4 linked regions of the Caenorhabditis elegans genome follow. The protein of the gene in region 3 purifies or fractionates together with the protein of the main gene of each other region. This does not show direct contact. Each region holds a gene or a part of one and is shown on either strand. Other genes may lie near its edges. The genes, in order: sax-3, madd-4, unc-40 and vem-1.

What was found.
Region 1: the proteins of unc-40 (region 3) and sax-3 purify together in Caenorhabditis elegans (affinity purification with western blotting; one study listed by BioGRID). This does not show direct contact.
Region 2: the proteins of unc-40 (region 3) and madd-4 purify together in Caenorhabditis elegans (affinity purification with western blotting, with the first as the bait; 2 studies listed by BioGRID). This does not show direct contact.
Region 4: the proteins of unc-40 (region 3) and vem-1 purify together in Caenorhabditis elegans (affinity purification with western blotting, with the first as the bait; one study listed by BioGRID). This does not show direct contact.

Annotation. Positions count from the first base shown.
Region 1 is NC_003284.9:3,461,015-3,468,978, reverse strand, and holds the start of sax-3 (Protein sax-3), read left to right. Parts: upstream 1-3,051; 5' UTR 3,052-3,093; coding exon of another isoform or gene 3,094-3,123; 5' UTR 3,124-3,136; coding exon 3,137-3,209; intron 3,210-5,113; coding exon 5,114-5,469; intron 5,470-6,013; coding exon 6,014-6,274; intron 6,275-6,479; coding exon 6,480-6,643; intron 6,644-7,275; coding exon 7,276-7,661; intron 7,662-7,964. UniProt on the Caenorhabditis elegans protein: Required to confine migrating sex myoblasts to the ventral muscle quadrants during their migration through the body and for multiple aspects of sensory, motor, and interneuron axon guidance.
Region 2 is NC_003279.8:8,937,129-8,945,415, reverse strand, and holds the start of madd-4 (Protein madd-4), read left to right. Parts: upstream 1-3,128; 5' UTR 3,129-3,211; coding exon 3,212-3,325; intron 3,326-3,367; coding exon 3,368-3,529; intron 3,530-4,065; coding exon 4,066-4,182; intron 4,183-4,228; coding exon 4,229-4,340; intron 4,341-4,390; coding exon 4,391-4,592; intron 4,593-4,848; coding exon 4,849-4,854; intron 4,855-5,138; coding exon 5,139-5,277; intron 5,278-5,747; coding exon 5,748-5,947; intron 5,948-7,764; exon of another isoform or gene 7,765-7,862; coding exon of another isoform or gene 7,863-7,912; intron 7,913-8,287. UniProt on the Caenorhabditis elegans protein: Component of an extracellular matrix cue that is involved in the guidance of dorsoventral midline migrations and in the specification of postsynaptic domains at neuromuscular junctions (NMJs).
Region 3 is NC_003279.8:5,687,169-5,695,148, forward strand, and holds the start of unc-40 (Netrin receptor unc-40), read right to left. Parts: upstream 4,336-7,980; 5' UTR 4,273-4,335; coding exon 4,254-4,272; intron 4,054-4,253; coding exon 3,970-4,053; intron 2,433-3,969; coding exon 2,252-2,432; intron 181-2,251; coding exon 1-180. Other genes in the region: npp-7 (RanBP2-type domain-containing protein), read left to right, coding at 5,098-5,293, 5,368-5,528, 5,622-6,227, 6,436-7,128, 7,406-7,980.
Region 4 is NC_003284.9:8,085,837-8,092,251, forward strand, and holds vem-1 (Protein vem-1), read right to left. Parts: upstream 2,739-6,415; 5' UTR 2,726-2,738; coding exon 2,603-2,725; intron 2,544-2,602; coding exon 2,292-2,543; intron 2,076-2,291; coding exon 1,899-2,075; 3' UTR 1,719-1,898; downstream 1-1,718. Other genes in the region: dao-3 (C-1-tetrahydrofolate synthase, cytoplasmic), read right to left, coding at 1-5, 128-301, 591-713; catp-5 (Cation-transporting ATPase), read right to left, coding at 4,539-4,695, 5,498-5,676, 5,723-5,935, 5,985-6,146, 6,189-6,415. UniProt on the Caenorhabditis elegans protein: Transmembrane protein required for the axon guidance of a subset of ventral nerve cord-associated interneurons and motor neurons. May function with the netrin receptor unc-40 in axon guidance.

The sequences.
Region 1 (7,964 bases), on a different chromosome or scaffold from region 3:
ATCTTCTAGAAAGGTATAAAATCGTTTAAAAGTGGCGCATGACTAAATATCATACACAGTTGAACTTTTTAAAACTTTTTTTTGTTGAATTTTTTCATTTTTACAAACGTGTGTATTCAGTTTTTGTTACTTTTTTGGACGTTGTCAATCAAAAAAAAAATTCAAATTTTAATATTAAAACTCTGTGGGGATTTGAAAACGCGACAGTGCTAATTTTTCATTTTAAAAAATGCAAAAACTCAGTATTTGCCACTTTTTGACAGTCAGCAAAAACCTTTGAAAATTTTTGAAATATTTTACAAAGATATTTAGTTATTTTAGCACCATAGGAGTAGTTTTCACCAATCTCCCTACCGCGCTACTTTAACATTTGTGCCAAAGGTGCGCGGCAAATGCAGGCTGGCAATTCTACAAAATGAGCCAGTCTGGCATGTTCCCCGAAGTAGTTTTTTTTTAAATAAAAATTTAGTTACAAAAAATGGAAAATTAATTTTTTATCTGAAAATAACTTGTTCTCTATTTGAAACAATTGAAAAAGTGCTCAAAAATTGTCTGAAAGTTTGAAATTGCCGAAAAATATACGTGCATGTATTAAAAACTTCCATATCATAATTTCTCACGCACCTCATGTTTCTTTGGATTTAAAAAGAGAGATTCAATATCACCGAGAGAGCAGGAATATTTGCATAACCCACTTTTGCTCACCGTCGTCTGCCACTGACCACTTGCTCCGCCGGCGACCCACTTCTTGGCGGGGCAAAGGAGCGCGGAATTGAGAAAAGATGGGAGGGGGAAAAAATCATTTGGCGCACACTTTCGTGCCCCTCTTTGACGTCCCCCATTCCAATCCACGTTTTTCACGCCATCGACCCGTCGTCCGGTCGAGCAGGTGTCCAGTGGACCCCATGACGAATTGCGGCGGACCACAATTCTATTCTCCCTGGTAGACTTTCCCATCCCATCACACTTTTCTTTGCATTTTTTGCTTCTTTTTTTTTTCTTTTTGGTTATTGTGCCATCTTTCTTCTGAACTTTTTGCTTTTCGGAAAAAGAGGTGATCTTCTCATTTCAACGAACAAACGCACTTTGTAAAGTGCCATAAAGTTTATTGTCCAGCTTCTCGCCCCGCCGACACCTTTGCGAAATTATGGTCAATTCCTGTCACTGGTTCTCACTTTTTTACTTTCCACATTTCCCCACCGTCTGCTTCCCCGCAAAAATCACAGGCTCTTCGAATCTCCCCACCTATTCTTGCGAATTTTATCGGTTCCACTACAAGTGTAACTATTGCTCATTGACAACGTATAGACACAACACGACAGATGTTGTATGACAGGGCCGGGTTTTCCTTCTTCTTCGTCGTCCTCCCGTCCCCCAATCGTTTGCCTCGTTGGTCCATGGGCATAGGTTCGGTCTACAATGGACCTAATGAACGGGTAGTCGAATGTGAGAGGAGGGCGGCCACGAATTGGAATAATTACTTAACCAGGGAAGGGGGCGACGTATAGCCCCGGCTATCCCCTCATATTCCATGCGGTTTCGTTCCGTATCGAGCCGCTTGCATGACATGGACATCCGTCATCGCCGTGCTCTTGACGCGCATTATTTAGGTTATTTATCTGACAATTATGAGCTTTCTGACGACCTTATTGAGTTGAGAGCTTTGATATGTTCTCGAGTACTTTCTTGTCTAGAATAAAGCGTATTGATTTTTCTTATTCGCCCGCCTGTTGCCAGATAGTTTATCTAATCAGTATTATTCAATCGCTGGCACAACATAAATCGATACTTGTCTCACTCCTCTTTGCGCGTTTATCTCCCCGCGCATTGCACACACACCTTGAAGAGGAAATCTGATGTCTAACATTCTGCGTCTACGCCTTCTAGCAATTCGTCTCAACGGTCCTCATTTTAAATGTTCTGCAAATGCATTTGTACTAAATTGTGATTTGTTTCTTTTTGGTTGTTAGAGAAACAATGAAAGCTTTTTGTATGTATAAAAATTTTGAACCATTTGGTGATGTTGAAAATCCGTTTTTCTTTTAATTTCAAGGTATTTTCCTAATTTTGGCCATTTTGCTGTGTTTGAAGTTTTTAATTTCCATGTTCAAATTGTAGCTATAGTTATTTTATTGATACTCTGGCAAAAATCAAATTTCCCAAGTAAAGTAAAACGCCTATATAGACTTGATGAAGTTCTACTTAGATTGAAACTTCAACGGATTCTTACTACAATCTTGCACAACTCCTGCGTAAAATAAAATTTTGCATAGCTTTTCGGGAGTCTTGTGCAGTTTGAAACAACTCCTGCACACTTCCCAATCTGCCACGAACTTAGTACTAAAGATTTTTTATATTTTTTGTCAGAGTAGGTTTCCTTTTTCAAGTTGCCTTTTCACTACACCAAATTTTGATTACGCCTCGCCGCATTTAAGAAAATCCTTTCAAAATCGACTTGTTCATTTTCTTTCATCTTCTATATCCATCCTTCATCCGTCCTTCTGCGCGTCATCTTTAACCAGTCTCACTACGTTTGCCTCCTAACTTTGCGTCCTCATTTTTTTTGTTGCTTGTCTTCCTGCTGGCTACTTTTGCCTCCCGTGCATTTTTTCTTTATTTTTTTTTGTCCAACATCTTCCGTCGCGTAGAAGACTAAATTTGTTCTTCATTCTAGAATGTGGCTCTCTAGTCCAATTTAGGGTCGGCTTCCGTCCGAATCGCTCCACCACCACCACCACCGAAAATGCGCAAAAACGGACGCACAAATCGTCTTCGCGTCTTGAAAACGACGACGACGACGCTCGTCAACTTTTCAATTACTTTGTTGTGTCTTTTCCTTTTTTCCTTCTAAATCTATTCTCCCGAGTGTCACCCTAGCAAAGATGAATGATTACACCCAGGGCCACGCTTTTTTCGCCCTTTTCCATCTTTTTCCCATCACCTATTTTGTCTTGTTTCTCCTTTTATATTCCCTCATTCTCTTTCCGTCATTTTGTCGCCCACTCTTAAAACAACCGCCAATAACTTTGATTACTTTTGTGTTTTTCTTGCAGGTGTCTCCCAACTGGAAATTCAGAACACCGCCACAATTAGATGCAGCCTTTGAAATTGGACACAGATTGAATAAAACAAGATCATGTTCAATCGAAAAACGCTGTTATGCACTATCCTCCTGGTATTGCAAGCAGTAATCCGAAGCTTCTGCGAAGGTTGGTTTTTTTTTTCTAGAAAAAAAATGTTAAGTTAAGAATGTACCAAAAGTGTCAAGTTACATGGTGAAAAAAACGCGTCGCCAACAAGACACGCTATTCGATCCACTCGTGGGTTTTCTTTGAATTCACTTGGAAACTTGGAAAATCCATTAGGTTGGGTTGTATTTCCCATGTCGAAGAAAGCGATTAAAACGAAGATTGACTGAATGCGCGGAAACGAATGCCCTCCATCTTGGAAAAATGCTCTTTACTCGCTGCTTTTTCTACTCTTGCGCTATTAGACATGACTCTTCATTTTGTCAAACACCAAAAGCGGGTTCGCTGCTTGGATTGTGAGCTCGTTTGCCGACTATAGTGTAAAAAGATTCGATTATCGTTTTGGACTGCCATCTGCCCTCTTGGCCGAGCCAAGCCCCGCTTTTGGATGGTAATGTTGAGAAAACAATAGTGAATAGGACGGGGGGAGAATAAATGGTATAGAAAATGAATGAGAGGAGTTAGTCTCATTGAGGCGCGTGTTCTCAAGTATTCACCATTCAAATGCTAATCTCTTAAAACAATAAGTCTTTTTGTACAGCGACCAGAGCCAGTGTAATTTGCAACGAAAATATAAGAAACAGTTGGGAGCGACCACCCGCAGACTCTCGATATTTGTCTTGTTCCACATTTCCACATTTCCACAATGTAATTTGTGCAATGTGCAAGTCATTATTCAATGTGATAAATTGCCCCAACCTGGGTCATTTAAACATTTTAGCACAGTTTTAAGATGCATGCGAATATCCGTAAAATTGAGAATCATTAGCATGCGGTTGATAGAAGATGAGAAGCTATTTGAAATCCCTCCCCAGAGACTAGTAGGTTATTAATGAGCTGTTGGCGCTGTCCAAAATATTCAGTTGCATCTCATGTTTTAGAAAGACAGCCTGCTTTTTAGCAGAAGCTTTCAACACCAATGTGTTGCGAAAGAATGACGGGCGAATTGTGAAATTGGGTGTTGACAGGATGAGATATGTGTACATCTTCACAGCTCTTTGGTTTTGTCTTGCCTATGGATGAAAAGGCGGGCAGGCAGCGTAGTATAATATTTTGAAGGTTAACACGGCCATTAAATTGTAGCCAGAGTACAATACATTGGTTCATGGATAGTTTACTCGCGTGCGCACATTTTGACACTGGCACGCTAGATTGTTGAAAGGTTAAAGAGGTGACAGAAGAGACAGAAGGACAGCCAGGCTAATTAAATTGTTGAATCCGGCAGCTTGTTAGCCACACTTTGGTCTGGTAATTTACTAGTGGAAAACAACAGTGGTCCGTATTTTGAAGTGGAGGAAAACAAGTCGGCCTGCTGAAATTTTTATTAAGTGTGTGCGCAGCAGTGTCAGGGTGAATGCCATAAACAAGTGATTCAAAATGGCTTTTTGATATTTTTTGAAGCAGATGGGAGAAGATGGGTAATCCGTCGGAGGTCAATGGCAATCTTATGTAATAGACCACCGACACCCAATAAACCAGCCGTTAATGTACTATCTAGGTTTTTACCACACTCACACACACACACACACATACATAAATTTTGATAAAATTCCTAGTGAATCATTTTATTACCTACCGTCCGTCAAGGACAATAGTGTCGCACATCTCTACTGAAAAATCGGTGAGGGAAGGTGTTCGTTTCGACACCATAATACAGATGTGACAGTATTGCGCGTGCCGGATCGGTCAGATTGATTTAATGCACTTGGACAAGTTTCCTTTCTTATTCACATTGTCAAGATGGATAAAATCAAAGTGTTGATGTATGTGGAAATAAGATGAATGGGAGATGAGGAAAGTAAAAAAAATTCTAACAGGGGAATGATGTTGTTTTGAACCTTTTCAAATCTTGAATATAATTTCAGATGCCTCAAATCTCGCTCCCGTGATAATCGAACATCCCATCGATGTGGTGGTATCTAGGGGATCGCCAGCAACCCTCAACTGTGGTGCAAAGCCATCTACCGCCAAAATCACATGGTACAAGGATGGACAGCCCGTAATCACGAATAAGGAGCAAGTGAACAGCCACCGGATTGTTCTCGACACGGGATCCCTGTTTCTTCTGAAAGTGAATAGTGGAAAAAACGGAAAAGACAGCGATGCGGGAGCGTACTATTGTGTGGCCAGCAACGAGCACGGAGAAGTGAAGTCGAACGAAGGATCGTTAAAATTGGCGATGCTTCGCGAAGACTTTCGAGTTCGGCCAAGAACAGTTCAGGTAAAGTTTAATACTTTGAATAATATTACGTATTTTTTCACTTAATCCTGCACTTTTCTACTTTGACAGTTTACCTTATAATCTCTATTACTGCGGCATTTCCATGGCTCAACCCTGACAGTTCGTATCTCGGTCAAATTGGATTTTTTGTAAAAATTTTAACTGAGCACAGTTTTGTTAAATTTCTCTGTAAATTTATTGTTTTTGAACTTCTTAATATCTTCAAAAGCATTCGAGACATATGCTGTCAGTTAAACAGTTGGGGTGCCGCACAAATAGAGAATAAAACGGCATATTCTGAGTCAGTTCAAATATGTCACCTCATTTTTTAGTGTTAAACTACAGAAAAAAAAAATTATCACTATTTTGTCAGTTGAAAATTTTTGGTAACCCCGAAAAACCGAAGATTTGGACCATCAATGTTACAAAAAACTTCATTCGTCAGTTTTTCAAAAACTGTAAACCGCACTGCACAATTTGTCAACGCGATTTTTAGACCATTAAAAAATAATTATTCACAGAAGCGTTACTCAATTGTTTTCAGGCTCTTGGTGGAGAGATGGCCGTTCTGGAATGCAGTCCGCCACGTGGATTCCCGGAGCCGGTTGTGAGCTGGCGGAAAGACGACAAAGAGCTCCGAATTCAAGACATGCCACGATACACTCTACACTCTGACGGAAACCTCATCATTGATCCGGTCGATCGAAGCGATTCTGGTACTTATCAGTGTGTTGCCAACAACATGGTCGGAGAACGGGTGTCCAATCCCGCAAGATTGAGTGTCTTTGAGAAACCAAAGTTTGAGGTACGTGTGGAAGCGATAGTCCTTTTAAAATTAATTTAAATTGTAACTCAAGGTCGTTTCAATTTCATTGTTCCGATGAAAATGCTAAATGACTGGTAGATTAACAAAAAAAATGTCGACAGGGGGTTTTGTAACTTCCTGTATTCTATTCTCAATCTTACTAATTCGATGATTAGTATTACTATTCATTTGATGTTGATTTCAGCAAGAACCCAAGGACATGACGGTCGACGTCGGAGCCGCAGTGCTGTTTGATTGTCGTGTGACTGGAGATCCTCAACCACAAATTACGTGGAAACGCAAAAATGAGCCGATGCCAGTTACACGTGCATACATTGCCAAGGATAATCGGGGGTTGAGAATCGAAAGGTAATAAAAGTGGGAGAAAGTCGAGGTGTTATCTCATCTTGCAAAGGATTTAGTTATCTCTTAAGAGACACCGAAGAGACATAATCTAATAACCGTTTTCGGAGATCTAGGTTATATTTTTTATGATCTGAAATACATTGATGAATGATAGTTGTTGGACACCTGTTTGCGAGCCTTTTTATTGAAAAGTTTAGGCATCTAAATGGGAAAGTATTGGATTTACAAAATTTACAAAGCCTATACTTATTGTACTTATTGGAAAACAGTCGCATTATACAAAAAAAATGATTAGGTACCAATAGATTTCGTCCCCCCAAAAAGTTGTTAATGTTTCAGCACTGAAGTGTTTAGTATTTATACGCATATATATTTCATTACTACTTCAATTGTAAAAACTAGAAAATAAAAAACAATACTAAGTTTAAAATCACAAAATGGTCACGTTTCAATTTAAAATAATAAAAAGTTTCAAAATGAAATTTCAATGTAAATTGCGAATCGAGAAAAAACTGAAAAATCAAAGGGAACATTATTTTATAGAATTTAATGAAAATTGAAATAATTTGAGCTTTTCAAATTTCTGAAAAGAAATGCGAATCTTAAATACAATTTCTCATACCCACGTTTTTCAGAGTTCAACCATCAGACGAAGGTGAATACGTTTGCTATGCACGAAATCCAGCGGGAACTCTTGAAGCATCTGCACATCTTCGTGTCCAGGCACCTCCATCCTTCCAGACAAAACCAGCAGACCAGTCAGTTCCAGCTGGAGGCACGGCAACTTTTGAATGCACCTTGGTCGGTCAACCGAGTCCCGCCTATTTTTGGAGCAAGGAAGGCCAACAGGATCTTCTTTTCCCAAGTTATGTGTCCGCTGATGGTAGAACGAAAGTTTCACCAACTGGAACATTGACAATTGAGGAAGTTCGTCAAGTTGATGAGGGAGCTTATGTGTGCGCTGGAATGAACTCGGCAGGAAGCTCGTTGAGCAAGGCAGCTTTGAAAGTTACAACTAAAGGTTAGTGAAAGTATTTATTTCATATTTCAGGCAACATTTGAAACCAAAGGCCGTGTCCAAAAAAAAAAGAGCAAATAAGAAAAAGAAAATAAATCTTGCCCTCAGTTGATTAGCATAACTTGTTTCCAAACCCATCCGCGCAGCCATTTTGGCCCCCGACTTTTCCCCCATTGTTTCTATTTAGAGTGCGCCGCGTTGCTTGAGTAGCATTCTAATTTAAAACTCTAGTTTCTGCGTGTTTTGTTTTTCAACTACAGGACTGTTCTCAAAAAATGTACCAAGTTTTGACTTCATTTTTACCAT
Region 2 (8,287 bases), 3.3 Mb from region 3:
AATTCAATATTTTTCTTTCCCTCTAACTTCCTGTCTTTTTATCCGTTTCTTTCTTTGGTGTTTATCATTGGAAAGAAATTTCTTCACTATCGTTATAAATTGTTCTGTCTACTGTACCTGTCTGAAAATGGGCTAAAACATGCCGTACGCTAGAAAACTTTCCAGACCTGAAAAACGTAAAAATTGTCCGTGCTTTATTTCTCGTTTTAGCCAATTCTTCTTCAATAAATCGTTGTGGACCAAGTGTTTGTCTGTCCTATACTGATAATCCTTTACCTCCTGTACCCATAAAACTAATCTCGGTTGTCCTTCCAAAAAGATCCATAAAAAATAATGTTTTCCGGTCCCTTTGAAAATGCACGGCAAGAAAAAAGTAGAATAGAAAAATAAAACAAGGCGTCAAAATCAGTGTAGAAAAAAAAGTGGCGCCTTTTTGCCGAAAAGAGAGTGTCTTTTTGCTTCTTCATCTTTTTTTGTGTAATGGGTGAGGGGACCAAAGGAAAGGAGTGAGGAACAACATTTATAAGAATGCTCGAGGAGCAGAACCAGCACATCCTCTTCTTCATGCTCCTGCTCTTGGAGCCGCCACCCCGCCAACTTCTCCTCTTTTTTCTTTGTCTTCCGGAGTCCTTTGGTTCTCCTGGGACCTCCTTCTTCCCTAAAACTAACACAGAGTCTATATATTCATAACTTTTCTTTTCGTTGGATTCCCGAGCCAGTTTTTAGCCATCCCACTGACTGGAACTCCCATAACTTGGTCTTGTGTTCCTCGTCTAGGCATTTCCCGTTGAAAAACCAAGATTTTTTGCATTTTTTAAACAAAGCTCCCTTCTTTGTTTTGTAGGAGGGAGGAGCTGTAACCCGATTTAGAAGAAAAAGTCAGCGCCCCTACAAACAGGAAGACCTTAACTAGGTTCCCTCTGTTTGGCAGTATTTCAACAAAATTTTTTCAAAATTTTTCAGCTTCTATATTTTAATAAACAAATTTTTCATAACTTTTTTAAATGAAGTTTACTTACTGTAATTTTCATATCAGACTCGCACTATCTGTCAAAATCCGCCAAAGTTAGTTTACTAACTTCCAAATTTAGAACCATTTTTGGGGCACAATGTTGTTCAAAAGTTGTTTGTTTCCCGTTTCCTTGTTTTTTAAAATTTATCCAGATATGTTTATGAAATTTAAAGTATTTTATGATCCAGGTCGATTTTAGACAATTTTCTAATCGACGTCGACGTATGCCGAAGCTGGGGGTACCTGCGTCGATTAGCCTGACTTCGGCGTCGATCAGAATAGATTTACCAGAGTTTAGTGAGAAATGTGTTTATGTTTTCATAAAAACCCAAAATTCAGACGTCAGAATTCAAAAACCTTCCCCTTCAAATTTTAAAAGAAAATGAGTTGTAGTCGCAGAATATGTTACCTGAAAAGAAGTAGGGGTGACTCTATTGTCTTTATTTCTTTTTTCTTTTTACAATTTTTCATTCTCACTTTTTTTTTACTTTTCAAGTTTGTTCAATAGTCTTCTGCAAAAATATTTCAGTTATAATAGTTGTGTTTTCCAAAAAATTAGTTCAATTCTTTTTTTTTGCAGTTCTTCTTTGTTTTTCCAGTCATGTCCTCATTCCATAAATCCCATTGGTCGTCGATTTCCCATTTTGAATTGCCCCTAGTTTTCCGATTTACTGCATTTTTCAAAAAAAAAGAAAAAAAAACGTTTACTATTGAATACCTATGCCTGGTTGAAAGAATGGGTTTTGTCAGACACTGGTTAACCTTTGCTCAGCTCTTTTTTTGAAGTTTGTAGTTATCGTTTTTGGAGTTTTTATTACAACCTGGTATCATGAATATTTTTTCTCTTCCATTTTCATTTTTCCTTCCCAAGTGTGCTGCCCGAGTCTATTGGAAGTCAGAATACCAACGTGTTCCTTGACACTTTTTGATTTGATTTCCACATTTTTTCCTACATTCTCCTCTTCTTTTGGCTTTTCTTCTCTCCTGAGCAACGAAGTTTAACCATTGCAATATTTGTAACTTTCATATAATAAGTAGTGGAGTTTTTGAATTGATTAAAAAGTTTTTGAATTGATTTGCATCATGGTCTAAACGAATAAAACTTCTCCAAGAGACTCCTCAAAAAGCTTTCAATAACGTAGTTGTTGTTCAAAATTAAAAAAAAATTACAAAACTTGTGTTCCATCGACTAAGATGGTACCTAAATTCCAAAAAAAAAAACGAGTAATAAATTACTAAACTGGAAAATTTGGCATATATTCCAGGTAAATTTAGCCTGTTTCTTTCAGATAATTTTGAGTACATTGAATAAATTTTGTTACTACCTCTATCCCGGCTCGCCATTCGCCTTGTTGCTTCCTATCAAAAACTTTTGTCTAGGAGTTACTCAACACGACTTATCAATGAATTGCTAATTTTAGAAATAATTACTAAAAAATGTTGGAATGGGTTGAGAAACCACATGTTCATAGGAGAGTAAATTTCTACGAATTCAAACTAATTTTGCCAAATATTTATTGTAATTTCTTGCTTTTTTTTGTTGATTGTTGGCCCACTTACTTAGTTTACGTTAATGTTTTTTTTCTCTACAGCTACTCTTTTTAATTAAATTTCTTTTTGTTTTAATCAGAGGTAAAGTGCTATAATTTGGCTCAACCAACTCACAGGTGATTCGCGGGTTTTAAAATACTTATGAAATGTAGTTCGCGCGCTTCTACAAGAGGCACCAGCGATATAGTAAAATACTTGCAAAATCGCAAATATTGTGCAAATTGCGATCACCGAGAGTCGCGATTACCAAAATACTGCTAAAATGTTAATGGTCCCGCGGCGAAATTCGCGATTTGCAAAATGCATCTAAAATATTGGAGGTCATAAGTATTTTACAAACGGCGAATCACCTGTGCTATTGTAAAGTGGAAAACTTCTATAACTATTTCTTCGAACCCTCTAATTTTCCTATCCAAAAAATAGTTGAAGCCCACATAAATCTTTTAATACATTTATCTCTATTTCATTCTTTCTCTTCTAACTGGTAATTTGAAATTCGAATATTTTCTTCAAGTTCCGGCATCTGTATATTTTCTTTTTATAAAACTTCCAAAAAAATATTTGCAGCCAAGGACAATTCAAGCGTTTGTTAATTTTTACACAAAAAAAGGAAAAAAAACAATGAAACAAAGTGTAAAATGAATGAAAATGAAGTGTTCATATACCGTAGTATTTTTACTATTTTACTTGCTTATTGCGAGTTTCCACGTGGATGCTCTTAGTTGGGCGGCATGGAGTCCTTGGAGTTCGTGTACTAAAACGGTAATCGGACAGAGAAGCTATTCAGAAAAAAAAAATTTTCAGTGTGGTGGCGGAGTTTCTCGTCAGTTACGACGTTGTTTGACATCAAAATGCTCAGGAGAATCAGTTCGATTCAAAGTTTGTGCTCAAAAAACTTGCGAGTCAAAATCTAGATTAGCTAGGGATACAATATGTGGAGGAGAGGAAATAGTCTCCAGGGGACAGGTATGTATGAACCACTTTCAAAATAATGTTTTCTTGTGAAGAAACATTTATTTAAAAAAAGTTTTTGTAGTAGTAGTCAAAAAATAATTTGGACAAATGTACCGAATAACCAAAAACGCAAAAACGTTCAGCCCTGCAGCAAGAGTGTTGTTTTTTCGATTTCTCAATTTTTTATGAATGTCGAAAAAAAAATTTCGGATTCTCAAACTATTAATTTTTTAACGGTCTAAATTTCAATAATATCCACATATCATGATACATAACATTCTAACAATTTTGTAAAAGTTGTGGTAAATTTCCAAATTTTCCAAAAATGTGGACTTCCTGAGAAATTTCGAGTTGTACTGCAGGTTTGAATCCCTAGAGTGTTTAAATATAAACAATCTTTAAAAAATGCGGAAAACTGAGTTTTCAAGTGTAGATTTAAAAAAGCCAAATAATTGTTGAAAAGTTTGAATTTTTTTTGAAAAGTTTGTGAATCATACATGAACAGTTTTCAAGCACCTATAAGTGAAAAAATAAGAACTAAAATTCAGTGCGAAGTGGTATGCCGATCACGCTTAACTGGTGCAAATTTTCTTTGGAGAGTTGATGATGGAACGCCGTGTCAGGCCGCAACAAGTAGAGCTGTCTGCAGTAAAGGGTCTTGTCAGGTTACTAAATATAATTGTTTTAATTATTATTTTCCCCAAATTTCAGATCGTTGGCTGTGACGGATTGATTAGTTCATCTTTTCGATTTGATGCCTGTGGAGTATGTGGAGGACGAGGGGATACGTGTGACAATGGAAAGTTCATTTGGAAAGTTTCCGGTAGAATTTTAAAGATTTACAACAATCACTCAAAACACTAAGATTTCCAGAAGAATACACTGCATGCGCTTCAAATTGTGATGATATAGTTGACTGGTCAGGTGCTGGACGTTCAATTGCTTCAACTAGTCAACCAATTGTTGTATGTGTAAATGCAATAACTGGAAGAGTTGTTCCTGAAAAGTTATGTGCTGATAAATTGAGACCGAAAGTTGAAGCAAGACCATGCCCAATGCTGATTTGCCCTTCAAGGTTTGAAATTTTAAATTATTTTATATTTATGCTTAAGTGCATAGTTTCGTAAATAGTTTTAAATTCTAGTTGTTGTCTGTACTTTTTGAAAAGCACAAACCTCTAAAAAACAAAAAACCGAACTCAAATTTCTGTTAACTTTTGTATTTTAATAATTTGAATTGTTTTTGAATATCCAATTTCCTTTTTCAAGAAATATTCTTTATATCGTTTCCTAAATTAGATTTGCTAATTTGATTTTAATTAATAATTTCAGATGCCGGTGAGTTTTTCCAAAAAGATCCCAAATCAGGGTGTGGTAAGCTGAAAGAGTGTGCCCCATAAGAATGACGGGGATTATTGATTTTTTATTTTTTCTCAATTTATTTTTGTTTTCTATATCACATTCACTTCTATTTGAATTTTCTCGATAAATATTTTTATCGTTTAGGAATGGCTAAGTTCAATTTTTAGATAATTTGAGACTGACATCTCTTTGCTTTATTAGACGCTGTGTGTCAATTTGAATATTTATGGATTTTGAAGTAATGAACTGAAAACTTGCAGATGGATGGCTGCAGACTGGACAGAATGTGTACCACATTGTGGTGAAGGGACAAGAAAAAGAGAGGTTTACTGTGTACAGACGGCGCATAATGTTACAGTACATGTTCCTGATACCTTCTGTGAAAATGGAACAAGACCGGTTAGTTGTTAAAAGTTTTAGCCATTGTTTCAGATGTTAAGTAGAGATCTTCTTATTAATGCTTGAGCGGAGCATTCTCAAAATGTTTTCAAAACACCAATTTTAATAATAACACCTCTTGAAATTTTCAGAAACATTTTTATGGCGGTTAAAAAATTTGTTGAAAAATTGTTTTTTTAAGAGGTCTTTTTTTGAATTTCGGCCTATAGGGTCAGTATAAAGAATACGCTACTCCAGATTTGACTTCAAGTATTTTTCCAAAAAATATATTGTTTGGGCGAAAACGTTTAAAAGCCTTGCCACTATAATTGTATATATTGTTTTTCTGTTACAGACGCAAATTTTCCAGATTTCTTAGCGTTATCATCTGCCTTTTTAAAAAACAACTTTCCTAAATTTTTTTGTTTACTTGCATGTTTCAGAAATAATTTAGAAATCTCTCTAAAACTTTCCTGAATGATAACTTTCAGGCAGCCGAAGAAAACTGTGTATCAACATCATGTGGACGATGGGAAGCCGGAAAATGGTCAAAATGTACAGCTTCGTGTGGCCAAGGAGTGCGACGACGTCACGTGGCATGTGTTGGAGGTTCAGATTGTGATGAAGGAGGACGTCCAAGACAAGAGACAACATGTTATGCTGGAATACCATGTAGTATTGCAACAAATAGGTGAGCTCCATTAAGAAGTGGAGAATTGGTAAAGGCACTTTACGCCAAATCATTAGGTAGAATGTGTGAGCGTAAAATGATGAGATTTGCAACAACTTTTTTGAAACTGAAATTGCTGGTTTTTACATTAAAAAAAAATTCAACTTCCAAAAAATGGTATTTTTCATTTAATTCTAGCCTACATAAAAGTTAACAGCTTGCCAAAATTAGTGTACGAAGCAAATTTTACAAGCTCGACAAACTCAACAAGTTTCGTTTGGTACTTGCTAAATGAAAATACTTGCTGTTATATTATTTAAAAATTGTATAGTCTAGAAAAGAATTTCAGATCTACATAATTATTTTTTAATCGAAGCTTTACTATTCATGTCTAAAAGTTCGATGTAAAACGAGTAAGTTGAGCAATCCCCCTTCTACACACAACTAACAGTTTCTTCAATATACACATTTTGTCCATTTGTACTCTTTTTCGGAATTTCTCATCAATCACATTCCTACTAAACTTCTTCCTTTTTGTCTTCCATTACAAATTCAGTGTATTAAAGAACTCTTTCTTTGTAGAGATGACTCCATTTTCGTAGTTGTACTTGTACTTGATTCCAAGAGTGAGAAAGATTTGAAAAAAGGGATGAAAATAGGGAAGAGTAAGAAAAATTACTACTCGTCTTAACTTTAAGCTGTAAAAGGATGAGCGGAGTGGAATAGAGGGGGTAAAAAATGGTCGAATAGCAGGGATTATTGAAGTTACCCATGGGAGTTTATGTGAGAATGTTGCCAGTTTTTTGGATGAGAAAGAACTACGACAGGAAGTGACGAGGTTTACTGTATATGAGAAAAGGTACAGTGATAACTGAAACGCGTGTTTTCTTTTGTGAGGTCAGAAAATTCCATGTCTTGGTGGTCCCATTTCTATTTGGCGACGATACCTGAGACGCCATGAGTTTTTTCATTAGATCGTTTGTTTTTCACAACATGGTCTATCGTTTTTAGGAGCAAAATAAACCCATTGGCAATTTGTTCTGAAATATCCTATGGGATTTTGTGCATATTTTTTTACGCATGGGCGGAATAACTGCACTGAATTTTCACTGAATTACTTCTTCTCAAATTCTCAAAACTAGAAAAAAAAATTATAAACAAGTCCAGACCACCTAAATAATTTGAAAGGTCTACATATGTATCAATGACCCTGTGAGGCACGGAGTTATCGTCTCCCGCGGGTTTAAAAGCTAGACAAACTCGTTCAATCGTTTGATATTTCAAACAATTAAGATCTTTCGCCCTCAATTATTGAAAAACTCACCAATATTGGTATGAGAACATCACGCTCTAAAATCAAGCTTGAATGTGGTCCCCAGATAAATTGGAAATATAGGTCTTCAAATTTTGGAACTAGAACCGCCTTAAAAGACATCATTTTCAAATTTCAGTTTTGCAGCAAGGTTCTGCATTCTTTCACATTAAAGTGATATCCCTAGGCATAAAATAAACATACTAAACGGTTGGAGATTTTCACATCTTTTTTGGAAAAGTGCTTCTTCTTCTCCAAAATATTCTAAAACTACTACTATTGTTCTTTGCCGCTGCTCCTTTTCTTTTTGGCGACATTCAAGAGTATGTAGAAGCAACGTCTCCTTCTGCTTCTTCTTCTTTCCTTCTTCTCTTGTCTTTTCTCCTGCGAAAATAAATTGATGGGTCGACGGGAGGGTCCTGTGCTTCTATTCTTCTTCTTCAATAAGCCCCACCCCCTATTGCTCTTTATTCAATAATTGGGCGTGCCCAAACCCTCAACTTTTTGTTTTTCCTCCATTTCTTTTGTGAGCAAAAACTAGGAGGCTCCATCCTTTTTAGCACCTACTCAGTATTCCATAAGAAGATCTGGATACAGGTTTTGGAATTTTGGAACTTGAGCACAATGCTCCCCCTACTCCTGATTTTATCAGCACCATTGGGTGTCAGTGCTTTGTAAGTTTTTTCAGTCACCTTCCTCATTTTGTAAAATCGATAGGAAAAATAGTTTTCAAAGCGAAAAAGTTAAAACTGTACGGTAGTACATTAAAACCTCACTTACGAAAAAGAGACCAAAAATTGGCAAATTGCATATCTTTATTTTCTCCTACCAAACCTAACCTGCTTTCAAGTTCAATTTTTGAATATTGAATGTTTCCCTATTAGTAGTACATATAAAAATTTTGTGTCTGCATAACAATGCTGTTCATTAGCATTGAGTGATGACAGATGGGTGTTTGGAGACACCCCACCAAGAAAAGGAGCATAAGGAGGTTCACAGGGATGCTCTTCAGAAATCAAGAGGTGTAAAATGAGTTTGAAAGTCCCATT
Region 3 (7,980 bases):
ATCGCTTGCAGTTCAAACTTTGCCAAATCCGCCAATCGTAACGTAGCTTTTCGACTCAAAAATGTCCACGTATCACTTGTTTGATCGCTTTTTGTAGTCACATGTACAGCGCATTGATATGTTCCTTCTTCGGCACTGCTCACTGATTCTATCCATAATGAACCATTTGACATTACTTTTCTGAAATAAAAAACTTAAATATTTAGACAAATTGCATTTAATATGTCTATTTCAAAATTAAGATGTTATCTAGTTGAAGAATTTTCAAATTTATTTTGTTTTTTTCTCTACGTAGAGCTCTACGTACTACAGTATTCTATTATACATTCATACAAACATTTCTTGCGAAAATTCGAAGCAACTATATTGCTATGTTCTCAAATAATTTCAAGTTTTTTCCCAAACTTTTTTCTCTCATTTTTATTGCGATTCCCATCATCGTTGGCAACCATATGGTTGTGGGTCGCTTCCTATCTTTTCCAAGTACTTCTGTGGTGTGCAATTGACAGATGGTCTCAGTGAATGAGTGTGTATGCGCACATTTACGTGTGTGCAACGCGCTCATCACATCTACGAAGGACTACCAGAATTCTCAGACCCTGATTTGTAATACGCACTTTCGTGCTTCATGGAATAAGAAAATAAATATTCGCCGAAGGCTATTTGCTACTAAATGTGAACAAGTTTTCCATTTTGAAAAAGTAAATCCAACTCGGATAAGCTTATCCCTGACCAGTTTCCATTCATACTTTGATGATTCATTTGTATTGAATGAAATTAAAACTGCAAAAATTGTTCAATGCCATTTGCATAGTCTTCAACAGAACCTTGAGCCTGTCAATCAATCGTCTTGACGACATCCACCCATCGTTTCTCAATTTCGATCGAATCACCCACAGTCGCCTCTGATTAATGACCATGACAACAGAAGAACGACTACAGGCCCGGCAAAGACAGCTTCAGGAAAACAATTGTTGACCTAATATTACCTAGCTCTAATGCCAGAATAATAATGGTGACATGGCATTATAGTAGGAGGAGATACATGACAAATGGCAGGAAATTGTCGCGGATACGTCTTTGGCGGGTGGTCTACTTCTGTTGAATGTTGTGAAGGCGAAAATAGTATCTGGTTACACAATATATAGATACTTTGTAAGCTTAAACCAACAACTTTAATATTAACAGAATCTTAAAGTGGTAATTTCAAAGCAAGGAAATTGAAAAATTGGAACATATAGTTAATTGTGTGAACTTTTTTGATTCCAATGTGTTGATTCTGTTCTGATTGTACTTTCGGTTTTAAGCTTAATAACTTTCGGTCTATTTCCGGCAAATTTCATAACATTTCAGTGGCCATTGGAAACTAAAACAACTACAAGTTATGAAATATGCAGAAAAACAATTTCTTGCACAACAAAAGCTTCTCAACAATAGACTCCAATCCTCTCGGTCAAAAGTGTCCTTCCTATGCACATATGCATGAATAAGCCAGGACGAAATTTTATATGTGCATAGAAAGACACATGTAAAAGTCACTACTTCCACTCGCTTGCATGCTCTTGAAGGGATTAGGAATAGAAGAAGGAGAAGAAACAAGTGTATATACACACATTCCGATAGAACGGAGATACACCATCTAAATGAGTTATATGTCTCAATGTCATTTGCATATTTTCGAAACTTTGACGAGAATCCACAAAGGAGTCCTTGTGAAGAATGTGAGCATCCGATTTTATTGGTGAAATAAGTTAAGAGTGTTCAAACAACCATATACTTGGAAAGAAGGTTAAAGATTACAAGATAGCACAATTGATATCTTTTTTTTAACGAAAAAGTCAGCTTCAACCCAATTTAAAAGTGTGAGCTTTTTCTACCGAGGTTAAAAGTGCAGTAGGGATATTGTTTAAAACTGATTTTATACTCAAAATGTCCAAATATCGTAACAAAAATTTCAAAATATTTTGACATGTTTTTTGAAATCATAATTTTGGAAGTCGATCAAAAAAATGTTTTTTCTCTACTAGTTTCATATTTTAATTATGTTTCAATTTTTCGTATGTAAAAATTCTAGGAGTTCGCCTATAACAATTACCTAAAAGTCCACATTTTTGCAAAATTTGCCAAACGAATGACGGTGAATATTGAAAAATCTAATTTTTTTTAAAAACTATTATAAGTGTATTGACACTGAACATCAATTTAAATCGAAAAAATTTTAAACCGAACAAATAGTTGTAAAAAAACTCACATTCTAGAAGATGTCCGTTCACTGAGCAACACACCATCACGTTTCCATTCAATTCGGACATCGTGTACAAGTCTCTCATGAGCCAGAACATAACTACATTCTAATAAATGAGACGATGATTCCATAACAGTCACATTCCGTCGTGGTTCCATTACGAATTGAAAGCCAAGATTCCGAGCATCTGAAAATAAGGTTTTATAAAGGATTTCCTTCAGAAAGTCATTCGTATTGTTTTTTTTATCGAGAATCTTATGACCATTTATATTCCGAGAAAGGTTTACGAAACGTATACTATTATAATAATAACCATTCATTTTTCTTCCTCAGTCATTATTCCATACGTTCTCACATGCTCGATAAATTCTTTTGTGATACATGCGGCATCGTAGAACCTTTATTTTATGAATTCACGGAAAAAAATGCAGTTAAAAACCGAAAAAGTCCTTATCAATTGGGGAATACTGTAAAATGCCACTTATCGCGTCTAATTTTTTTGTTGATATTTTTCTGTACCTTACTAGTTAAACTAAATTATCCTTATTTTTTTCCAGAATTAAAACATATTTTCACAACTGATTTATTATTTTGTAGCTTTCTCAGTCTTCAACCTTGACCATTCCGAAATAACAATAAACCCAAAGCGTCCTTCTTTCTCTTCCGCCGCTCAAAAATTGGAGCCAATTAGTTCACATTTTCGTAAATGTTTAGAAACAGAACTTTGCTACTCATCAATAAGAAATCATCATCATTTAAATGATGAATGAATGTATTCCCGGAGCATTATGCAATCAAGGGAACACCATCAACTGAAGACCCGTGTCCCTCATATTGCCTCATCCATCAATTGAAATCGAAAGGGGATGGAAGAGAAAGATTTGTGTGGTGGAAGCTAAAGAAGATGATGGCATTTCGTTTTGTGTGTGTGTGTTTGTGTCACAATTCATTCCAAGAGTAAGAAGAAAAGAGAGAGAGAAGACTTCATGTGGAACCATTGGGACCCACACACACAATAATGAAATGAACGAATCTGGTGGATTTTGTGTAGAGATTACAATCTTTCGAACATCAAACGCCTAGAGAATCTGGGGAATTGAGCTATCCACTTTTGGTTTGTAGTGAAAAATGCTACAATTTGGCGTCAAGTTTTCTTTAAAGGTGGTACCCACCGTGGGGTAGTGAAATAAGGCCCCGAGTGACGGAATGAGGCTTCTCAAAAGCGGAGTCAAAATTAACTAAAATTTTAATTTTTCCCTAAACCGCCATAATTTAGAAAACGTTCAAGATGTCTCTCTTCTGGGGACAAAAAAATCGCTGCTCCATCTTTAAGGTGTGAAGGAACTAAAAGATTGCTGAACAACTCTGCTAGATCGGAACTCGAAAATTGAGAATAATTTTGAAAGAAGGTTTTTTCAAAGTAAAACCATTAATTCGACGATAAACTAAGTGTTTTATAGGTAAGAGTATTAAAAAAAACGTAACTTTTCTTGGATTTGTATTATTTTTATGGAGTCAATTTTTTTTAAAAATAGCCACAAGGTAGTTCAGTGCCAAGTATTGACTTTAAGATGATTTTTATTTATATTTTTCTATTTTCAAAATTCCATTCTTGAATCGATAAATTATGTTGCCGGTGACTGACACCTTGACAGAATGCCAGATGGTCATCTTCCTTCCCCCATTTTAATATATTTTTGAATTCAAATGTGAAAAACTCTCACCATTATCAATCGATCGACGATGATGTTTCCGTGTTGTGGCATGAGTAGATGACAGATAAACTGTCAGAATTATAAGAATGAAACCTGAAAATTATAAATAGTAATGAAGTTTTATTTAATTTCCTTTTGTTTTCTTTCAGAGGTTCGGGTTTAGATACTTCGTTTACTACGAAATTATAGGATTTTAATTTTATTTGTATCAACACAAAAGTGATAACAACAATATTTAAAACTTTTCCACGGAGAAATTATTAAAATTGATAAGATAAAAAGATGGAACTCACCGAAATGTCGCAAAATCATTTCTACTGAATGAATTAAATAACTTCTGTCGAATTATCGCATTCTATTGGTGATGCAGAGGGTCTGAAATAAATAATGTTTTTATTTACCTTTGGATTTTTTGAACACATTTTTTGAACACAGAAAAAAAGATGGAAAAGAGGTCGTTAAAAATAATTTTGAATAGAAAATAAATATATTTAACGGAAAAAGAGTCAAAAACAGGGTCGAACGTCGTCAAAAGAGCTCCAGAAGTGTCCAGCTGAAGGGGTGTGGCCTTGTGGAATGGACACTCTCTCGTTTCTCTGCACCCTCTTCATGTTGTTAATGGAAGGATAACTGTCTGCACTCTAACCTCTCAAATGTCGTTGAAAGCGTCGCGTATGCGTCGCGTGTGCGCACTCGAAAATTTCTTTTTAATCGTCTTCGCGCCATTTGCGATTTTAAATTCCTTTATTGATTTTTAATGTAATTTACACTTCTTTCCTTCGAAAATTCAATGTTGGTAAAAGGTTTTTTGCCTTAAAAATATATCAAGTTTAATGCTTAATGCTGCGTTTACTGGCGCGGCCTAAATTTAAACATTTACGATTTTGAATGATTTCTGTAGTTTTGACCTGTGTTATCGATCAATAATTCGGAATTTTTACCAAAACATATTAGGTGCATTTGTCATGTTCTTTTGGTACTTCCAGTAGTTCATTTAGGCGTTTCAAAAGTATTTCGAAAAGTGTCGTTTTTGAAGAATTTTATTTTATCGAGAATTTCTGACACGGCGCAGAAAAATTTCTTCAGTCTCTCTCAGCTTTAGTCTCAATTACGAAACAACTTTTTTCTATTTCAGAAATGTCCGATAAATCCGGAGGGTTTTTCTCATCGGTTGGCCGCTTCTTTTCTGTTGGAGCTAGTGCCACTAAAAGCAAAGACGGCGATAAGTCGAATGATGAAGGTACATCCAATTCGTCTTCAAAATCGTCTCCTTCTGCGTCTCCAGCATTGAAAAATATATTATCCGTAGATAATGAAGCTAAAATAGCTTCAGGTAAGTTTAATCACATTGACTTTCATATCAGTACATGGCACTAGAATTTCAACTCATTATTTTTTAAATTCCAGATGAAACTTCAGTGAATACCTCACAAAACCATCGCATCGGATCACGTCTTCGATACCTCAGTCCGACTGCATTGGATCGGCGTACGAGTGCATCCAATGGCTTAGAGATCGATGTGGACGCTGTTCCAGATATTTTCTTCAGCACTCCTGCGGTTTCCACGGTAAATTTTTAAAGTTGTCTTTTTATTAATGTGTTTTCACAGAAAAATTAGATTAAACCTGTTGATAAATGCTATCGAAATATTTTTTTCCAGAATCGCAAACGTCAACTGACAGAGCTCGACAAGCAGATTCTACCACAATCGTTTCGAAGTGAGAGTGTGAAACGAAGTCGATTCCTGAACAGATCATTACTGGAACCAACTCTTAATAGTTCAATGAATAATGAGAGGAAAATGGATATGACTTGGTGTGGAGAGTTAACTGCTAATCATTCTCCTGCTTCATCTATCACAAATTTCTCACTTTTGAGCCGACGAAGTGGAGCAACTACCAACGGGTCATTAAGTACAAGAACTCAAGAAATTTTCAAAAAGCTTGAAGGTGCAAATACACCCGCGAAAGAAGTTCAGAGAATGTCAATGCTTCGAGCTGGCATTGCTCGACCAGAAAAATGGGGATCGTTTAGCGAGAGCAAGGTTCCAAATGGTTCAGCAACTGGCACACCACCACCTCCATTGAAAAAAGCTGGAGACGCAATTCCATCTCGTATACAGCTCATATCAAAGACTATGGGAATGTCCGCTCGACGTGCTCCTTATTGGACGGATTTAACTAGGAAAAGAACATCGTCGAAAAATGGAGACACTGGATCTTCTGATTCAATGAAATCATTGAACGGAAACTTTGCGACTGCAGAGGTAACCTGGATTTTAAACACTTGAAAAAAAATGATACAAGAATTATGAAAAAGTTTTTCTGGTCAAATTTTCTAAAATTAGACACGAGATTATCACAGTCTAGTATTTATTTTTAAACGTTTCATTGGGAAATTTTCAGAAATTATAACAAACTTAAAATTATGATAATTAAATTATTCGACTTTATCTTAACTTTTTTAAATTTCAGCTGAGCTCCTTGTTTTCACTGGACTTACCAGCTCCAAAGAAGACAGCATCAACTGCATCCACGACCACCATAAACTCGTCAAATAGTCGAAAACAACATGCCTCAATTATGAAGGGACCTGATGGGAAACCAGTTAGTAGAAATACGTTCAAACTCTCTGATGACATTGAAGAAGTTGATGAGGATTCACAGAAACTTCCACCAATTCCAACAACAACTCTGCAGAATCCACAACCTCTGAAATTGGCGCCAGAATATGCACCCAAGCGCGGGTTTTTGGACGATCTCGCGTTCTCATTCACAGCTCCAGTTGATTTAGTTACTGCTGTTGGAACTGCAAAAACCGCAAGTACGGCAAGCTCACATAAAGCATCCGAGTCCAGCAGTGAGAGCAATGCAGAATCGACAGAAAAGCAAACATCTGAAAGCAGTGGAAACGAATCAGATTCCGAAGAATCAGAAGACTCAGAAGTAGACGTCGGTGAGGAGAATGGTAGTGAAGTGAAAGAGTCGCGACCACAAACTTCCGCTGACACTATCTCATCTGCCGGAGGATCCAATCAGAGTTCAAAGGATTCGTCTCCAAAAGTTGCCAAAGATGCAGAACCAGTTGTGGTTGCTCCAGCTCCAGTGGTCGATGCTGGTTCTAAAAAATGGGAATGTCAATCGTGTTTCTGTAGTTGGGATTCTACGGTAAGAAATTTTGATGTTGATACGAGAAAACTCTAAACTGGGTCTACTATGTTTTACTTAAAATTAATAACAAAATTTAGTCTACAGTTTTCGTGGGTTTAGGAAAGCGTGCGCGAAATGTTCCATTTTTTCAACTAAAATAATTGAAGTCGTCACGAGTCTCGCTGAAAAGTACATCATGTGTCTTTAGAGCATAGTCTCACATTTTCAGAAAATTGTCAAGTATAAAAATTCATCGGAAAAGAAACTAAGAAATTGACAAATAATTTGTTTTCAGCTATCGGAATGTGGGGCATGTGGGGAAGCACGTCCAGGAGGATCTGGTACTGGTCCAAAAAGTCAACCAAAACCTTCCGAAAAGCAGCTTGTATCAAATCTCAGTAGTTTCGCATCGAATACACCAAGTACTGTCAAGTTCGGATTTGGATCAGGTGCTTCAACGACAACAACTATTGCATCGACAACTTCAAACACAATTCCATTCGGAAGCGGTTCTTCAGTGGCACCACTTTTTGGAGCCCCCAAGACAACTGCTCCACCACCAACAACTGTTCCTGCCACAATTCCAGTAGCCCCTACTACTATCGCATCTGCTCCTGTTGCTGCTGTAACTTCATCCTCCAATGGTACACGTGTTGATTGGGAGTGCCCTGATTGTATGGTTAGCAATAAGGCCAGTGATGATAAATGCCCATGTTGCTCACATGTCAAATATGCATCTGCTGAAGCATCTTCGAATGTTTTTGGTAATCGGGCCTTCAAACCACTTTCTTCCACAGGGTCTACTATTTCATTCGGAGTTGGTGGAAGTACAGCAACCACCCAACCAAGCGCATTTGCATTTGGACTGTC
Region 4 (6,415 bases), on a different chromosome or scaffold from region 3:
GGAAGCTGAAATTAATAACTTGCTATTATTGTTTAGCTTCCGATGTTTTTTTTTAATTAACTGAGATGTGTTTTTTTTCCGTTATAAGTTAACATTTCAATATTACAACTTAATCCGTTATATTAACCTGAATGATAATTCCGTCAATCTCGTTGTCATGATTAAGAGCCATAATCTCTCGCTTCAAATCTCCTTGAGTGATGGTGTCTGGCAACTTAATGAGTTTTCCATCTGCTCCGATTTCCTTTGCTTTTTTCAGTTTGGAATTAATGTACACATTGGAGTCTGAACGATTTCCAACCTGCAAATTTTGAGACTTTGAGTTATTCAGTATAACAGATATCCCCTCGGATATTATTTGTCTTGTTACGAAATAAAAGCCGGTATCTCAAAAGTACACCACAACTACAAATTACGCTCTGCAAAACTTTCAAAATCTGTTTTGTAAGTATGCAATGCACTTATGTACGTCATGAACTCAAAACACAGATTGGACAGAGATTTTCATTTTCATATATTCAATTTAGAAATATTATTAAGTTAATAGCAATGCTTGAAATAAAATTATTATCAGTGGTAAGCTTTCATACCTGAACAATTGCCAATACTGCATGAAAATTTGGGTGGTGCTCACGGGTTTTTGCGATTTTCTGTCCGACATCGTGAAGAACCTTTTTTGAGTACTCGAGTCCACTGACGATCTCCGCGACCATTCTAAAAAATAAACAAAGTAATAATCAAGTTGAAAAATACGTCAAGAAAACAAGAAGGGGAAGAGTAAAGGAAAAGAGTACGAAACTCCTCTTGTACTTGGCTATTCATGGGAAGAGACTAGTGCAGAAGTCAGAGGACAAGCTGATTGGAAACTTAGCACATATTCACATTTCGATGGTGGGGGACAGAGTGAAAAAATAAAGCGTCGAAAAAGTTGAATATGCATAGCGGTCTGTTGTTTGTGGGGGAGTGATGAGAAGAGTTTTAAAACGGCCTGGCCTTGTTATCTTATGCTGAAGATCGCTATGATTTTATGTGTCGAGTGACTAGAGTTGCTTGTCAGCGACATTCTCATGGAAAATACATGTTCCACCGACAGTTTCGATGTCAAAGCTTCCGCATTAAACATGTTTGCTTGAAAATGAAAACAGTGTATCAAGGAACAAAATTCAATTTTTGTCACATGAAAATAATACTTTTGAAAGTTTTTGCTGCCTTATATGTTAACAATATATCAAAATAATGGACACAGTGCAGAAATGTCCAATACGAACGCGTGGCGGCGGACCATGAAAATCGATAACAGTCGGCGGCTGGCCTTGCATGCAATGCGCGCGCATAACACAGAAATCTTATCGGCATCCATACGACGCAAAATCTCTTTTTACCCAGCAATTTGCCGAGATAAAAACAATAATCATATCAACATTTTGACTACAATGGGACTGGGATCTTATCATGAAAACTTCTTACCTTGCAAATTTGAATGTGAAACTCATTATTTTTCTTATAAACTGGGAAACGTTGATTTTTAAAAAGTGTCTATTTCTATTAACCAGAAATCAAAACATGTTATTCTCAAATGTTTTTTTCAAATGATTTAAAATGAAGAAAACAAGTCTTATCAATAATGTCCTAAAACCTGCACAATCCAAATTATCGGAGCAATTGAACAGTGAAAATAATGAAGTAAATATTAAATATTAACATTTTTCAAAGGCGTACACAAAAATCATTTATTCAAAATCATTCTTCGATTTGAAAAACAACTAAATCACAGTATTTATATAAAATTTGCGAGAGATGGTGAGAAGGGATGGACAATGGGATTTCATATCATACAAAGAACATAAAATAAGATGTAACCGTTTTGGAATGTGCAACAATTATGGATTTGAATACAATTAGTTATCCTTTTTTGTGCCCTCGTCGCCACCATTGATAATCGAATCCAAAGACTCGGCTCCACGAACAAACGATTTTCTATTTCCATAATCTGCTTTTTCCGAGCTATTCTTTACCAGACGTCCAACAGTCAAGTACTTGAATTTGAACTGTGTCTCCCATTCGTTGGCGGTTTCCTGTAAAAATCAATTTAGGTTTTTTTGTTCACAATCAATCTGACCGAGGCAATATACATTTGAATTAGCTTCGATGTCATATTGATGACACAAAAAAGTTATGGTTTATGCCTGAGTTATGAATAAATACCACAAATCATAAAACAATGACTTTAAGGATTAAATGTTTATAACGAACTTTCACGTTCTTACTCATGAGAAAACTGCATAGCCTACCTGCTCGTCAGCAGAGATTCCAGTATGATCATCCCACTCGCTAGAAACAGCATTCTGGTCCATGGTTCCAAGCGCGCGGGTAGCGTCATGCCCGGCAAGTGTACCGTAGGCTTTTCCTGGTCCGTAAAATCCTTTTCCGCGAGTCACGTCATAGATAGTTCCGTTGAGTCCAAACAGAATGTGCTCATTTTTGACACCATCGTACTTGCGCAGCTCTTCAACTGTCATATCGGACATTGGCAATGGGGCGAGCTTAAGTTCAGGATTTAGAAAAAATACATGTTCATTAAAGAAGCTAATCAAATACTTACTTCTTTTGGTGGAGCTGGGAGCGGTTGCTCGGATCTGGTGAGCCAGTAGAAAAAGAATCCGAGAACGACGACAAGGAAGACCGCGTCGTACATTGTGAATTCAAACCAAGAGCTAAGATCCATTGTGACTGTACAGCTGAAAAAATGACAAACGTATAAAATTGAAACTCGAACATATGGTGGTCGTTGATAGATCAAACCATTAGTGCGAGGGAACCGTTAGAAGGACAAAACAATTCTAGACAGCGAGCCTCGAACTGGTTAAATGATCGCGATCGAGTAAGGGCACGCGCCTCCCACCTCGTCGATTAAACGGATTTATTTTATAGGTTTCAACGGATTGAAGCGGAAACGTAAGCAAAAAGATCAAAAGTTCAAACGTGATATTCACTACTTGTCTCATAAATTCAATGAAATAGCACATAGTGTGGCGGAGGTACTGTTGCGAATTTAAGAAAAGTGAAGTGGGCCCTCGAACTGAATGAAAAGTGTACTCTTCAGCAACAACAATAAATATAGTTTTGATTTTTCTCAAAACACAAAGTTTCAAAAGATGGTTCGGTGCAAAATATAGTAAAGTGTAATAGAAAATAAAAAAAACTTTTAGTAAAGTCTTTTGGTTGTCTGGAGACTTTGGAGATGACAAATGTTTACTAAACTTGATTTAAATTTTTTCTCTAGGGAAGTGCAAAAAGTCATGGAGTGTAAACACTAGGGGAAAATGTTTGTAAATAAATGAAATTTTAGTTTTTTTGAGTCTATGGCAAATATATGAAAAATATAATTCAAAAAGTGTAATCCAAAACAAGTGAGAGTTCACGAAAAATCATATTTCCTGAAACACTTATTCAACAAAATGATTTATGCAAAAAAGTAACAGAAACAGTATACATTTTGTAAAAAGTCAAAAACTAGTCACCAATAAAAACATCAAAAATCACTGCAACAGAGCAGGTGAACCCGTCGACGATGTGTGAGCGTCCTTGACTGTGTTCGTCGAACGCTAGGTCCGTAAGTTGCCGTCATTTACAGTGCAAGTGCACAAAGCGGTAAGAGAAAGAAGAAGGATTTGTTGTAAAATGAAGAAAACAAGATGTAAAAGAGAAAACGGAAGAAATTATCTCTAATTTTAGAAATTCGAAAACATGGTACATTATTTTCTCACAGATTTTCCCAGTTGCCGTCAACAATTATTCACTCAGCGATTGACGGTCGGAAATCGAGAAGAATGTGCGTTTTCGTCGCCTTATCGTTTCTATTTTATATTTGTCCCCTAATGTCTCTCGATTCTTCTTACTTTCACCACAGTCATCACAAACAATACGAGTAGTATTTGTAGCAAAGATTTTGTGGTTAGTGCCGTGGAACACACAATTTTTATCAAACAAATGTTTCACTGGGGTGCCCAAAGGTGAACAATGATTGTGTAAAAAAATAGAAACGAAGAAGAAAAAGAAGAAGTGAACCTACAAAAAGGAAAAGAAAACCCGTGCTCGGGCCGTTTTTGGATGGGAAATTGAAAATATTGCAACAGGGAGAAGCAAGAAAATGGGTAGTGGGAATTGAGGACGAAAAAAAGTTTCGGGAGAAAATTGAGTCAAGTCACAAAGCAATTCGTGGTTTGTAGGCTAAAAAGTATGAAAGGAGAAAACGGTGAGTACAAATCACACGTGACGTGTGTTTCTAGCAGATGTGTAGTAATCGAAATAAAAACAGATAGGAAACGGGTCATGGGAGTGATAATAGCAGCATGTTGAAGATATCGAAAGTCCACAGGAAAACGAGGCGTTTCTGCGTAACAAGAAATTGGATTATCGTTAAGAGGTGGCTCTCTTTTTCTTTTTATACATAACATTCTAATAATATGCAAATATGCATGTACTCATGCAGAAGACACTGACATAAGGGCAAATCTTAAAAATCAAATAACAAGGGATTAACATTTGCTCTCTATAGTCTCTTTTCTGTCAATCGATTTCGACAAATTGATCTCATCTTCAAACCATCTCGGACTGCTTCCAATTGCAGCGAGTATTTTTTCATAGGCAGAGAGCGATGGATCTCCGTTCCGAAGACGTCGCTGGCGCAGATAGCTAAAATAAATATCCATTGTTTCATGTTATTAACCTTAGAAGTTGATTTTTAAGTATTTACATTTTTTTTAATTTGAAAATTGACGATTAAACACAAATTTTTCTACTTCAGTTTCAAGTTTAATTATATTTGCAATATTCTCCAAAACTCTGAGAGTTCCAACATGTGTTTTAGATTTTTTAGTACTAAAAGAATGGGTGTAAATTATTTATATACTAATCGTACACCACCTGCAAAAAATATATGCACCTAAATACTTTTCAATATATAAATTAAATTTGAATAGTAGTATTGAATAGTTAAAAAAAAATCGTGTAATTTTTTTTTGAAAATGTTTCCAATTTTTAACAGGTGAAACGTTAAGTATATATTTATGTTTAAAATCAGAAAAAAATCATTTCAAAACTAAAACTATTGTTATGATAAATTTCTGTGGTAATCTATTAAAATTATTTTGGAAATAAAGTTGCTACACAAACACTTTAAAATCTTTCTATTGTAGTCTCCGCTTGAGAGAAGAAAACTAATTAAATCTCAATAATATGTTTCAGGTAAAATATTTTCTAAATGTTTAAAAAGTTTCTTAGTTAAATTTATACCTTCGAAATTAGTGATGTCAATTCAAAAAAATAATTTTCTATGAAAGCATTCTTTGATTCTTTGATTTCTACTTGCACCACATCGTATTCTAATCATACATCAGTTATATTCTCACGAAGTAACAAATTTTGAATATCAAATCGCACCTGATTTCGTCAAGTTTCTATATAAATATTTCTCACGAGATTTTTCTAGAGCTACCTTTCAAAATGAATAGCAACCACTTTTTCGACGAAGAAATGTTCGTAGAGCAAAGACAGGAAAACTCCAGCCAGTGAAATTGCGAGGAGAATAAAGCGCATCGATGTACTTGGAACGTAAACGAATCCCATCAAGTTCATAAGGAATCCCATGTTTGTGAAGATCATCACCATGTTGATCTAAATCACAACACTTTTAAAATTATAAATGTGCAAGTTGACATACGGCGCCAATAACAAAAATGATTCCACAAAGAAGCCAGTTAGTGAACACAGAACGACGATAAGGATGACCTTTAGAGTAGACAAAAGCATAACCAAGATACATACAGCAACTGGTGAAGAAGACAGTAGTTCCAATCATGGTAGTTGTGTTGTCCAATTCTTCCGGATTCGGAACGTACCAGGATTGGCCACGTACGAGAAGATATCCGGTCGTCTGAATCGTTTTCACCATTTAACAGACAAATACCTAACTTTGTTCTTACCTGAGTAATAATATTGAAAAACATTTGTCCGAAAACACTGAAATAAAAAGCACTGGTGGCCAGTCTGCGAGGTGGCGGAATTCCACTAAGCTTTCTCGATGCTTCTGTGTTTCCCAAAAACAATGCAACAAGAGTGATTAAAACAAGATCGATGTACAAGAACTGAAATTAATTATGCGAATTTTATTTCAATTGCCTTCTCACCTGGCCGTCCGAAATATTTGTTCCATCATTATATAATAGCATGACAGACAAAAACTCGTTCAGAGAATAAGCTGCCATGTATTTCGAAACTGCATAGGATGTGACTAATGCACATCTGCCTTCTTTGATGACGGTCGGCACACAACGAATATCTGGGACGTTGGAAGTGAATGGGGCGGCAATTGAAGCTTCAGCTTGGGAAAGGGAGATTCCTGCGTGAGCGGCTT